Linked DNA regions of Saccharomyces cerevisiae S288C. The gene in region 1 interacts genetically with each later gene. Each region holds a gene or a part of one and is shown on either strand. Other genes may lie near its edges.

Region 1 (4,270 bases):
TCGCGTACATTAGAATTCCTTTCCCCATCTTGGGGAGCTCTTCCCTCCTCCGCGTCGGTGCGAGTATTATCTTTCATAGCCATTGTAATATTTGCCACTTCGTCCGGAAGCGCCAGTATATCTTGATTCCATTCCGCATATAATATGTGATGTGGTGCTGGTAAATGGCGGTATTGAAAATATGAATCCCTATAAGAACTTGAACTCATAATCGTGGTTGTTATACTTTGCTCACCCCACTTCTCTGATATTATTCTCCCTTCTCTCACGATACAGCTAGGCCACGGCACAAATATGATGTAGTACTAAGATTTTTTTTTTTGAGGTTGCAATTCAGATTGTTGTCTTTTTCTACGACATGCATAGAAGTATATCATATGATATTTCGAACTTTGGGTGCTTTTCTACATAGTGCCTACGTTCTGAGTATCTATAATAATATAATGAAAAGTGTATATATAATTAGCACCATTAAACGCACCACACTGTTGCCGTTTACTTTAAAGAGAAGCGCAAAGAGCGGCAATGGTGATAGCGAGTGCGCATACGCTCGCTTTCCAGGTCAAACTCATATTTTTGATTGGTAATAGCTGCGAAGTTGTTAGTTTATTAGAAATTGCAGCATTCTTACTCTTCCTGGAAGTCGTAGTGGAGGACAAAACCGATGACGTTGTTCTTGGAAATGCCTGTGCTGATAAAGAGGATGAGAATTTTTCTTCGATAGATCCATCTGCTTTGAAGTACGTGTAGTTGTCGAAAGGGGAAGGGAAAAGGTTAGCTTCTTTTAGCTTCAAATAATCCCATTCTACGGCGTCTTCGGTCTTCCAATTCCAAAAAATCCATCCCGTTGTTTTTGACGAATAAGTGGCTAGCTGTGCCTCAATGAATTGTCTCACACGGTCACGGTAATCTTGCGTCCAATCAGCTAAGCTATTTTGGGATATACATGTTCCAACTGGCTTGTCGTTGGTGGTAAACAACGTTGTATTGTAGTATGATCCATCGTAACGTGCACCCACCCCAACACCATTTAGCCAGGTTGCACAATCAGTAATAGCGCCTGACCATTCTCCGACTACTGCTGGGTGAAAAGAAAGTTCTTTGTGGATAGAGTCCCCATAATTGATAATGTTTTCAATACGTGCAAACTGAGTTTCGGCCAATTGCGCATCAGTAAACACTTCATAATGATGATGGTCGACCAATATATCTTGAGAGCTGTAATTTGCACCAGTCAAATTGAAATAATGATGCGATACATTCTGGTAGGTTGGGTTTAGCTCCAAGTTCCAGTGACCGATTCCTTGAAAACCGTCATGAATAACAAACGTAGTGTTGTCACTCGAATTCTGATTTTTCTTGAGCAAGTCAAATGCTTCGTAATACATCTCCGTTATGTCTGAAACATCGATTTTGCCACCAAGCGGTTCGTTGACGATTTGAATACCCACCACAGGACTTTTGTCACCTTTATTTAAAAATGTCTGGAACATATCTCTCCAAATAGCCAGAGTCAGTTCTTTAGTATTATTCAACCTTAACCAGCCTAAATCGCCATAGAGTATTCTTTCACCGGAATTATCGAATCCATTCTGGGATCCAGGAGCACCATGTAGATCTAACCATACATTTAGTTCGTACTTTTGCGCCCATTCGAGAGCATTATTTAAATATTTCAGTTGTAATCCATCACTTACGTATGGATCATTGAAAGTTATGTTATCGATGTACAAGTTTTTATCAGTATTTTGTTTCCACGCCCAATATCCGATGGGGATCCTAACTAAATTGAAACCGTTGGTTTTGATTTGTTCAAAATCATCCTCTGTAATCCAAGTTTTGAAGTGATTATCCAATAAAGTTAGAGAGGTGTTATATCCTAAGGTTTTACAAAGAGTAAATTCGTCGACAATGGAGATATTGCTGGAAGAGTTTTGCTGTTTTGCCAGTGACGTAGCATTACGATATAATGATGGCGTGATATAAGGTTCTGTTACTAGCCAGCCGCCAATAGTAATACCTTTCACGGTGATAGTGTCGTTTGCATAGTAGGAGGCGAATTTGTTTTGTAAAATATTTAGTTCCAAAGGCGATAACGATTCTTCCTTCTCTGTGGTGCCAACGCCTTGCGTGAATTTAGACAGGCATAAAACTAGAAATGCTGAAAAAAAAAACGACTTCAAAGGCATATTAGGACGTCCCAAGTAACGAACGGTCTACAATTGACTATTCTATAGAACGCGCTAAAATCTCAGCCAAGGAAAAGAGTTTTCAAATTTATATAGGCGACGACGTATTCTCGAGAATTTGCGTTTTTCATTGTATTGTTTATTTTCTTCTTTTTTCGCGGGACTTATTTCTTGAACTCTGTCCGTAAATAGAATTAAAGGGACACATTTTTGCAGCGTCCCTGACCTTGTGATGTTTCAAAATAAACGCACACATTATTTTTAAATGGCAATTTCACGTAGTTTTAGTGGTTTGAAAATAATGATAAAATTTGGGCATTAATTGTGCAGATTATCAGTCAAAAAGTGAATCGAAATGTATCCCAATACAATTTCATGTGCATATTTCACTACTACGAAGTGAATATTGTAAAAATCACGTTATGACATAACTGCTTTTAGTAAATCTATAAATTAAATGATTAATAGACATGTACCCGAGGATAATAGGATTGGCGAAACTGGATATTTGTTTGTAGTATCACAGGTTAACATTATCGTTTTAGGACCTTTTTCACTTTGTCTGGTGATCTTGGGGAATCTCTATATCTTGAGATACTTGATTTAATTAGGCCTCCATAACCAGATTATGCATATTCGATTGGCAATGAATAACTTATAACTGAACGAGTTGTATCATTATCGATATCGTTATATATGGTATATCCAGGACTGACAGTCAACATATCACTTGACACTACCTTAAAATATTCAGGATTTACTAGGTATAATAGACAACAGACTAGTTAACGACAAATACTGAACATAGAGACGTACAAAATATGATACTTGTGTTCCTGCCACAGCAAAGTTGATGTACTTAGTTGACTGTATATAATTTTTTTCTTTCAACCTCTGCTTTATCTAACATTATTTGGCATTTTTTTATTTCTATCTAGTTAGATTTTAACTATAATCTGCTTATTCAGTATACAGTGTATTCTCTATTTTATTTTTTTGTTATTTTTACATGTTTTCAATTTAGTCTACTAAGATTATATGTTACAATTCAGGTACTCCGTCAAATAGCCCCCTTAAAATACTGCTTATGTGCACCTGGCATGAAGATTGGTATGATATGCATATGATATGTTCTATTTCTAGGTTTATTGACTCTATGTTTTCTTTCTAAAAAATCTTGAACATGGTCGCGACAGCTACTTTGACAATCATTGATAATCAGCCGTGCGTCAGAACTGAAGGTCTGCTAAATGAGCAGAAGAAGCCAGAGCGTAAAGTTTTCTGTACGAATAAAGAGGGGGGAAAGCCGTATTTTTTATTGAACGACTGCAGAACGGAGGATTATGACTGTTGTTATGAAAATAGCTAATATACAATATATGTGAAACTCCTTCGCAAGTATAATAACTCACATAGTCTTTGCTCTTCGCCATCAGTTACAAAGTGCGCTGCAACTTCCGAAATGCGATAAGTCGTGATGCGGTTACCTCGATATCGAAACCTTCTGTTTGTCCGTAAAATATCGTGTAACACTAAAGCATACTTTTTCTCATCGATTTATGGCTCATCGACCAACCGAATTCTTTGATAGTTAATGTATGCTGCAGGCAGAAGGGCAGCCGTAGGTATAAAAAAGACTAGAGTTCACGATCCAAGCACTATTTGCCATTTTTGTGCCCTTTCAAATTATTCTTTTTTATCGCATTGTCATTCTGGTACTATTAAAGTAAAATTAAAAAGATTGAGGAAAATTTTTGGTAAAAACGACAACTGCAGGACTCGAACCTGCGCGGGCAAAGCCCAAAAGATTTCTAATCTTTCGCCTTAACCACTCGGCCAAGTTGCCTCAATTTACAAGTAATTTGAATATTATTAGATAGTATGATGCAGTATTATGACACACATCTAAACGTTAATAAAACACACATGCAACTTGTTGGAATAAAAATCCACTATCGTCTTGTTGGAATAAAAATCAACTATCATCTACTAACTAGTATTTACGTTACTAGTATATTATCATATACGGTGTTAGAAGATGACGCAAATGATGAGAAATAGTCATCTAAATTAGTGGAAGC
Region 2 (4,438 bases), on another chromosome or scaffold:
CCCTTTTTTCTTAAAAATGTAAGAGGAAATTATGAAATATACTCTGATTTGTTTATTATTGATTAAGAACAATATAATAACCGCTCTGGTAGCTACTGTACATATAATTTGACGGCATATATTGCTCATATATAAAACTACCGCATTACTTCCAGTTGATAGATTTTTAACTCAGTTTCAGTACTGCCAGAACTGCTCATTCGAGATTTTTTCTATTTTTAGAATAGGTAAAATTGCACTTAAATGTATAAGGGATGTACGAAGTGAGTGCCCAGACTGTTACTATGACAATTAAACTAATGTCGATGACCATTTGTTTCGACAACTCCATCTTCATTTTCTTCACGCGCCATACTCGGATGAGAAAGAATCTTTTCTCTAACTATACATTTCCAAACGCAATGATCAAGAAGAAAGCTAAATGTTACTTTGAGTTCAATTACTGAGACATGTCATGGGAATATGAGGAAGAAACAAATCTACGTGTATTATACTCCGTAACATGTAGAGTAAATACCATAGTTACCTATTTACCTGTGTCGATAAATGTTCATTAGCTCATAAGTGATGGGATACATTGCTATTCCTCTGCAATGGAAGCTTCGATATCTCCCTTGGGGTCGTTATGAGAGACGTCTTTAGGGGGGGTTTTGACAACAAACGGATCTACTTTCGTCGATTTGAACTTTCTTGCAGAAACTCCAAGTTTAAATAACTCATTTATTTCCACGAAAGTCTTTCCGGCAGTTTCTGGTAGGTCAACCACAGCCCAGATTAAAGTACAAAAGCATAAGACACCCCAGAAAAAGCCTGACTTAGCGCCCCAGTTCCACTTCTTAGAGTTCAGTTGGTATAAGATGAGAACGCTACATATGATACTGACCACATTATAAGTGTTACGTGCTAGAATGATTGTTTTCGTTCTTAGTCTTGAAGATGGCATTTCAGAGACTAGGCAAAAAACGACCGGGGCAATTCCTAAATTGTAAAAAAATGCTACAGCCATTAAAAGAGAACCACTTCCCATTTTGGAACCGTGCGTACTTGAGCACCCCAAACCGCCAATAATGAAAAAAACAATGGTTTGGAAGGCTAGTCCAAAAGCGTAAAGGTCATATCTACCAAAATACTTTGACGCCCACCAAGATAGAAATGTAGCACAAATACCGAGACAGTATTGAATAATACTAAAAGTGAAGGACATTTCAGTACTAACGCCAGCCTTTTCGTAAAAGTAAGTTGAATAACCTATTAGTATTGAACCACAAGTGGCTTGACCAGCCCAGCAGAGACAAGTAATTCTCGTTCTTCTTCGATTAATCTTGTCTTCAAAACAATCACTATAGGAGCCTTCTTTACTTGTGAGTCTCTTTTCCTTATCTATAGTCACTTTTATTTTGTCCACCTCCAGAGTTACTAGTATTTCTTTTTCAGGTCCCTTGCCGCTTAAAGTTCTTCTAAGTGATCTCCTTGCCTCATCAAACCTTCCTTTTTTAACTAGCCACCATGGAGATTCAGGTGCAAAAAAAATTCCCAGTGCTAAAGGAACTGGCAAAATCCACTGTAGGGCAAATGGTAGTTTATATCCTAATTCTGAATCCGCATATTTTTTTTGAGAATTTTTCATGATTCCAGCTGCAAAAAGTTGTCCAAATAACCAGCACAAGTTTGAATAGGTTGTAAGGTAATATCTCAGAGCCAATGGGCATATTTCAGAAGCGTAAGACACCGTCAAACACTGAAAACAACCCCATGGCATCCCGCACAATGCTTGTCCCACAGCAATCATGCCTAAACTATTGCAAAAGTACAGTATAAAAGTGAAGGCAGCTAAAAAAAACAATGCAATAATCAATGTGTAACGATTTCCAACAAGATCCACGGAGGGCCCCGTTAGCTGTAGCCCCACAATTTCACCTGCCATATAACATAAGGTCAGCCCGATTTGCCATGACGCTGAAATTTCCCATTCTCCAGTTTTGTCATTTTGTGAGCCAAACTTTCTCTGAAAAATAGGCAAGGCGTAGAAAGCTCCAAGAATAGCTGTGTCGTACCCTTCCATGATTAAAGTTGTAGAGACCAATAGTGACCAAGCTGCTGCCTTGGGATATGTATTCAATGCTGTCGCAAGTGGCATTCCTCTTTCACTTTCGTCTGCCTCCTTGGCATCCTCAGTAGCGTCAAATATCTCTGTTATTACTTTATTGCTATCGCTTGGCGCTCTTGTATCCGGACTGAACTCAACATGAACAATATCTAAGCCGTCCTTCTTAGTTTGATCATCCATTTCTATCCAGCTGGGTTCATGCGACTTAGCCTTTCCTGGGTATACATTCGAGTCACTTGTATTTTCCTTTCTTCTGTTTATGAGAAAAGATAAGTTTTTCATAGCTAGGTAATGGCTTTACAAGACCTGTATCTCTATTTGTGTTAGATTTTGTGATGGTAATCTTTGCATAATAATTCCAAGAACAGGCCTCTAAGAATTACAAACAACGATTACAGATGACCCCACCTTTTTTTTATATTCTATAGTCAACACTATCATGAACTTGTGGCATACTCATTGCATATGGCTGACAGGATGTCAAATGCTCCCTTCTACGAAAGATTCTGTGCACGTAAAACGCGGGGTGTGGAATGTCGCGATGACTCTCGAGCAGAGAAAAAGACAAACATATAACGAGCTGATTCCTCTCCAGAAGAACAAAGCCAACATTGATTCAAACTGAGGACTTAATATGATTGACTCTCTGGAAACTGCAACAGTGTGATTATAGATCAGAAATTCATGCTGTAATTTTAGTATATCGACCTGTCGCGATGTTGCAAGCGTGACAGATCTATACATATTTCGCTAAAACTGTCGGTAAAATACCAACACGCTGCACTGCAGACCACAGATTCGAACCGAAGCATATTTTCAGAAATTTACGAGAGGTCTTTATAGTCACCAAAATATCCAAATTGAGTAATTAGAAAGAAAAAAACACACATACTGTAGTCCACAACCTGTTTACGGACAGGTTCTGGCTGATGGGATAACCACTCTACCTGACTGCTCTCCTACTTCATATTTACCTCCCGAACAACGTGAAATCTTTTTGCTTGGAGAAAAACAAGTAAAAAGTATAAATGGAGATGAAAGATCCACCAATAAATTCCAGCTTGATTTTTCAACATATGATGACAAATGTGAGTGCTAAATCTAAGTCGTAAGACAAATAAGAACTTTTACCATAATCAGTATCCTGGGAAAAGTGGTAGAACTACAGTTTATCAAGCTTACCCACAAAGCATTAAATATGCTCCCACAATAACCTCTGGAGTGATATAACAGGTATGACTTTCAAGTTATAGTATATTAAAGATCTTGGAATTGGGCGGTTTAGGCTTGTTCATTTCAAAGCTCGAGTAAGATTTTAGTATACTTTTCCCTATAGAAATATTTCCGACATAGATTTTTTAATATAAGCACTTCTTCCATGACATTTTGTTTCAGTTATCTCTCTTTCGTCGCTACTTGAGAAAACTATATGGTTGTACGAAAAAGAAATGGCCAAAATATTCTTTGGGCCTTATTAATCTCATTACTATTGTAAGAGTTGGCCCTTAATTTTATAGAAACACTGTTTTAAGGCCAAAAAAAAAAGATGCCAAACATAGAAAGGAAATGTCGCTTTACTTGGCTAATTGGCTCTAAATCACAGGTCTTAATACTCGAAACGCCATTGATGTACTGTGCACAATTTCCATTCCGGGTTAATTATAAAGATATCAGCGTTTATTTTCATCCATGGCAATGAAAATTGTAAAATAATCATCATCAAAATTTGATATGGTTGCAATAGAGGGAATGATTTGATTTTTATGAGACTTATACGCATCACCCTGTATTTTTGCAATTACGGCGATTTATAAAACTTATAACGGAATTTAAGAGTTTCATCCTACCAAGCGTAATCATAGATATAAAAATTCTATTGTGCAACTCATATTTGTCATTGAAACAGGGACTTTTCTCCGAAGTTTAATATCTAGTATGAGCTATACACCTTAACCACTCCTTACTTGTAAAGGTACGAAAAAGTTGTCGTTTTAGCGCGCACTTACTGATGGATGCTGAATCAGTATAGTGTTTGACTGCGGCAGTAAACTACTCACAGTAGCAGGCACGTACTATGGAAGTTGTTTCGAGGCGCATGATAGGAAAAAGGGTACCAAAAAGGATTAGAAGAGAAAATTTTCATAATGGGAAGTCACTGACGAGGGTTGGTGGTTATCCGTTTTAAAAAAATATTATGCAATCAAGCTACAACATCCTGTAAATTTTGTAGTAGAAAACTTCTATTATAACGGTTTCTGAATTGGCATATAAAATAGTCAAAAGGTGATCTTTAAATCAACGGTAAAAACAGTGAAGCTGGTCCTGTTGTAG
Region 3 (3,578 bases), on another chromosome or scaffold:
ATGTCTCCATTGGCCAGGTACTCAAAAGAACAACCGGGTTTATGTGAGCGTTTCGAGGTTTTTGTATCTAAAAAGGAGATATGTAATGCGTAAACCCGAACTGAACAATTCGTTTGACCAAAAGGGGCTTTCCTACAAACAAGCAGGGCAATAGGAGCAAGGCAAATGGATCAAGGTGATGCTTATGCATAATTTATACGATGGAATCCTTTGTAATGCTCCGTACTACGGTTTACCACCAACCGGCTTTTGGGTTGTAATATTGACAGATTCACCATGTTCTCAATGGTTCTGTCACAATTCGAAAGTTCTATTACTCGCAAATTCGAAAGCAGATGTTTTAAGAGACGAGGTGAAGTAAAAAAGAAGAAAAATGATTGCCATACTCCTCAATGCTTGCATGTAATATAATATAATATAATTACTGTTTCATTTTCTTTTATATTATACAATGGATATTCTACATAACCGTAACCTATATCGTTTTTAATGATTGCAAGGAAAAGTTGATTTTGTAGATAATCTTATAATGTAGTGACTTATTTAATTGTTTGATTAGAGGTAGTAATATTGCAATCAAACTGATCTAGTGAGTTTCCCGCTCCTTTTTAATTCCAAAGCTTTCTTGTAGGGAGGGTTCGTCGGGCTTTGAACAGGATCTAAGGACGATGAAGTGCCTGCAACCGAAGAAGGTAGGTCATGATAAGTGGCATCTGAGTCGAAACTTTGAAGACTTCCACAAGCCATAAATTCGGCTATGTTTCTCTCCTCTTCATTCCAATGAGACAATTTGTCTGATATACACAATTTATTCAAAAAACAGCCTTGAAAAAATTCATCAACGGATGTATTTACATCTAATTTTGGTGTCCAATTGGATGGTGGGTTATAGCCTAAACAAACAATAAAAGCTTCCAGAGATGTACCTCTTGATGATCTTGGCTTTGCGCAAACGATTTTATCGAATAGATAGCCCAATTGGGAATATAGCATATCTATATCACGACCTCTGAAGATCTTTGCCACAAAAGTTCCACCTTTTTTCAGAATGCATGCAGTAAGTTGCAGCGCACTCATAATTAACTGTTGTTGCACGTATTCGTCAAGATCGTGTAACCCAGTAACATCAGGTGCACCATCACTACAAACAAAATCGGCCTTTTCGTTGCCAAACAGTTTTAGAATCCTCGCCAATGTTTTAGGATGAGTGATATCGGCTTGCAACGTTGTCACATGAGGTATGGGGGACATCGGTTGTAAATCGACAGAGACAATTTTCCTGTCCTCCTTATCTGAACTGGGACTTTCATCAAACAGTTTTCTCGAGAGCACTTGTGACCATGAACCTGGTGCTGCACACAAATCTACAACTCTTTTTAAGTTTGGATCATCCAGGAAATGAAATTGGTCATTGAGTTGAAGTAGTTTGAAAGCAGATCTAGCCCTATAGCCCTGCTCTTTTGCTTTTCTATAGTACAAATCTCTTTTATCTTTGCTGCTCTTACCCATCTTGAATACTTTCTTTTTAAGCTTGCCTTGTACTCATCTACTGTTGTTTTACAGTAATGTTAGGAGCATCGCTTGAAAATTTTCAACTCGCGATAATTATTGTTAGCGCAGAATAATAATACCTAGTAAAAAGTTTATCGTTGCTTTTACTTCATCATGATAATCAAAATACTTGTAGGTCTGTCTTCTGTGAAAGAAGACGTAGTTACCTATTCTACTTAGGTTTGGTGTCTTTATATAATATAAAAGAAAGATATTAACCGTACATACCCCAATCTTCTTCCAGTTCTGCTTCAGTTGTATCAATCTCATTAATGATTCGGTGGCCCATAACATTATCTCTGCATAATGGACATGTTGTACTTCGAGATAGCCAGACAGACAAACACTCTAAGTCGAACTTATGATGGCAATGAGGTAATTCAACTACTAAGGGGTACTCATCTTCTAAATAATTAGTGTAACAAATGGAGCAGTTGTCAGTTGCTTTGAGCTTTTTTTTATTGATTCGTGGTAAAGAGGCTGCAAAAGTATCAGGACAGCCCGCACTCTTGCCTTTATCCATTTCTTGCAACCATTCTTCCTGTAATGATTCTGGAAGCATTTGCGATAATAATCGTAAAAGTAGTGTTGAATCTGAATGTGCATCACCCTCACCACTGGTGTTACCAAAGTTTTGAAATAGACCTTGCAGTTGGGATCTGACCTGTCTTCTCTGCTCCTCCTGTGAAGTTCCTCCTACTTCTTGGTAATCCCTTGAGTTTTGTTGTATTCCATGTTCCTCTAATCTAATGATGAGTGCAGATTAAAATTCGGTTAGTTAATTGGCTTTGGGGAACTTACTTCATAATATATCATTACATACCTTCATATGTAGACATTTTTTTGATTGTGATTATGTTTGATGAATATATCTTTCTATTATTTCTTTAGTAGTTTAGGAGTGGCAAAACTGGTATTATAACGAACTGAGCGCTCCTCGGTGCAAACAAAAGCCGCCCACAACAATTTTGACCAACTTAGGCAAAATGAAGCCATTACTAGAAAACGAAGAGTATATATCATCACAGTAATTCGGGTAGGAGAGTTGGTCACCAAAATGGGACTCATATGGAAGGCAAAAATTTCGAGCTTATTCATCATGGTTGTACCCGTAAAGTTTTTGTTTCCGATATATAGAGTACAGATGTTTTCTAGTTAACAGTTGGCATATCTTACATTTTCCGGATTATGTATCAAATAAACTTTATCTATGAATAGTTAGAGTACCACAGTAGAATCGAAGTTGCGCCTTTATCATTAACTAACAATTTTTTTGTGGGAACCGAACTATTATGTCTCCTGGAACAAATCTTTTGACTTTTAACCCGGAGCAAATTGCGAATCCTTGTCAAATTTTGAACTTCATCATAGCGGATAAGATCCTTATGAATCACTTCATCTAATCGCTCTCGTTTTTCTCGGTATGCTCCAGTTATTTCAATTGGGATGTTGTTATCAAAGAAAACTGGTTTTTCCATGAACATAGTCAGGAAAAGTTCGTCACCAAATTGGCTTTTTATAATCAAAAACGATTTACAGATATCACGAATTTCTCTACTCACAGATTTAGTATTATCTCGAGCAGTGAAGCTTCTCATAATTGAAATATTTCCAGGCGCGTATTGTCTGCCATAATGGGAGAGAGATACATCGCATCCCATAGGAACTTTAACCATTGTTTCGTTAATACTTTTTTCAATACCTTTAAACGGCGTTTCATTCGCGCTATCAAGTAATGTATTATTTACCACTGCTTTAAACTCGGGATTCGAGCCAGGTGATCGCGTTAAGACCTCTGTTGTATAATCTTTAGTTAATAAGTCGTACTCATCAAAATTGCCATAGGTGAAATTTTCATCGCTTTGGTTCAAAGTTACCATATTTTGCCTACCAATGCTGAGAACTGACTCCTTTGAATGTAAAACTGTGGATTCCTCATAATTTCTCTCTTCGGTAACGTCACTTCGATTATTGAGGCAGTCTTCATTAAAGTTTATTACAATGGATATGGTATCACCAGTCTTGAA

The links.
Region 2: mutations in EXG2 (region 1) and MPH3 together harm fitness less than expected from each alone (positive genetic interaction), as found in Saccharomyces cerevisiae (one large-scale study listed by BioGRID).
Region 3: mutations in EXG2 (region 1) and TRM7 together harm fitness more than expected from each alone (negative genetic interaction), as found in Saccharomyces cerevisiae (one large-scale study listed by BioGRID).

Annotation. Positions count from the first base shown.
Region 1 is NC_001136.10:977,021-981,290, forward strand, and holds EXG2 (glucan exo-1,3-beta-glucosidase), read right to left. Parts: upstream 2,190-4,270; coding exon 501-2,189; downstream 1-500. Other genes in the region: SWM1 (Swm1p), read right to left, coding at 1-209.
Region 2 is NC_001142.9:737,428-741,865, forward strand, and holds MPH3 (alpha-glucoside permease), read right to left. Parts: upstream 2,390-4,438; coding exon 581-2,389; downstream 1-580. UniProt on the Saccharomyces cerevisiae protein: High-affinity uptake of maltose and maltotriose. Also transports alpha-methylglucoside, glucose and turanose but not melezitose or trehalose.
Region 3 is NC_001134.8:364,211-367,788, forward strand, and holds TRM7 (tRNA methyltransferase TRM7), read right to left. Parts: upstream 1,510-3,578; coding exon 577-1,509; downstream 1-576. Other genes in the region: YBR062C (uncharacterized protein), read right to left, coding at 1,766-2,292, 2,375-2,390; CNM1 (Cnm1p), read right to left, coding at 2,760-3,578.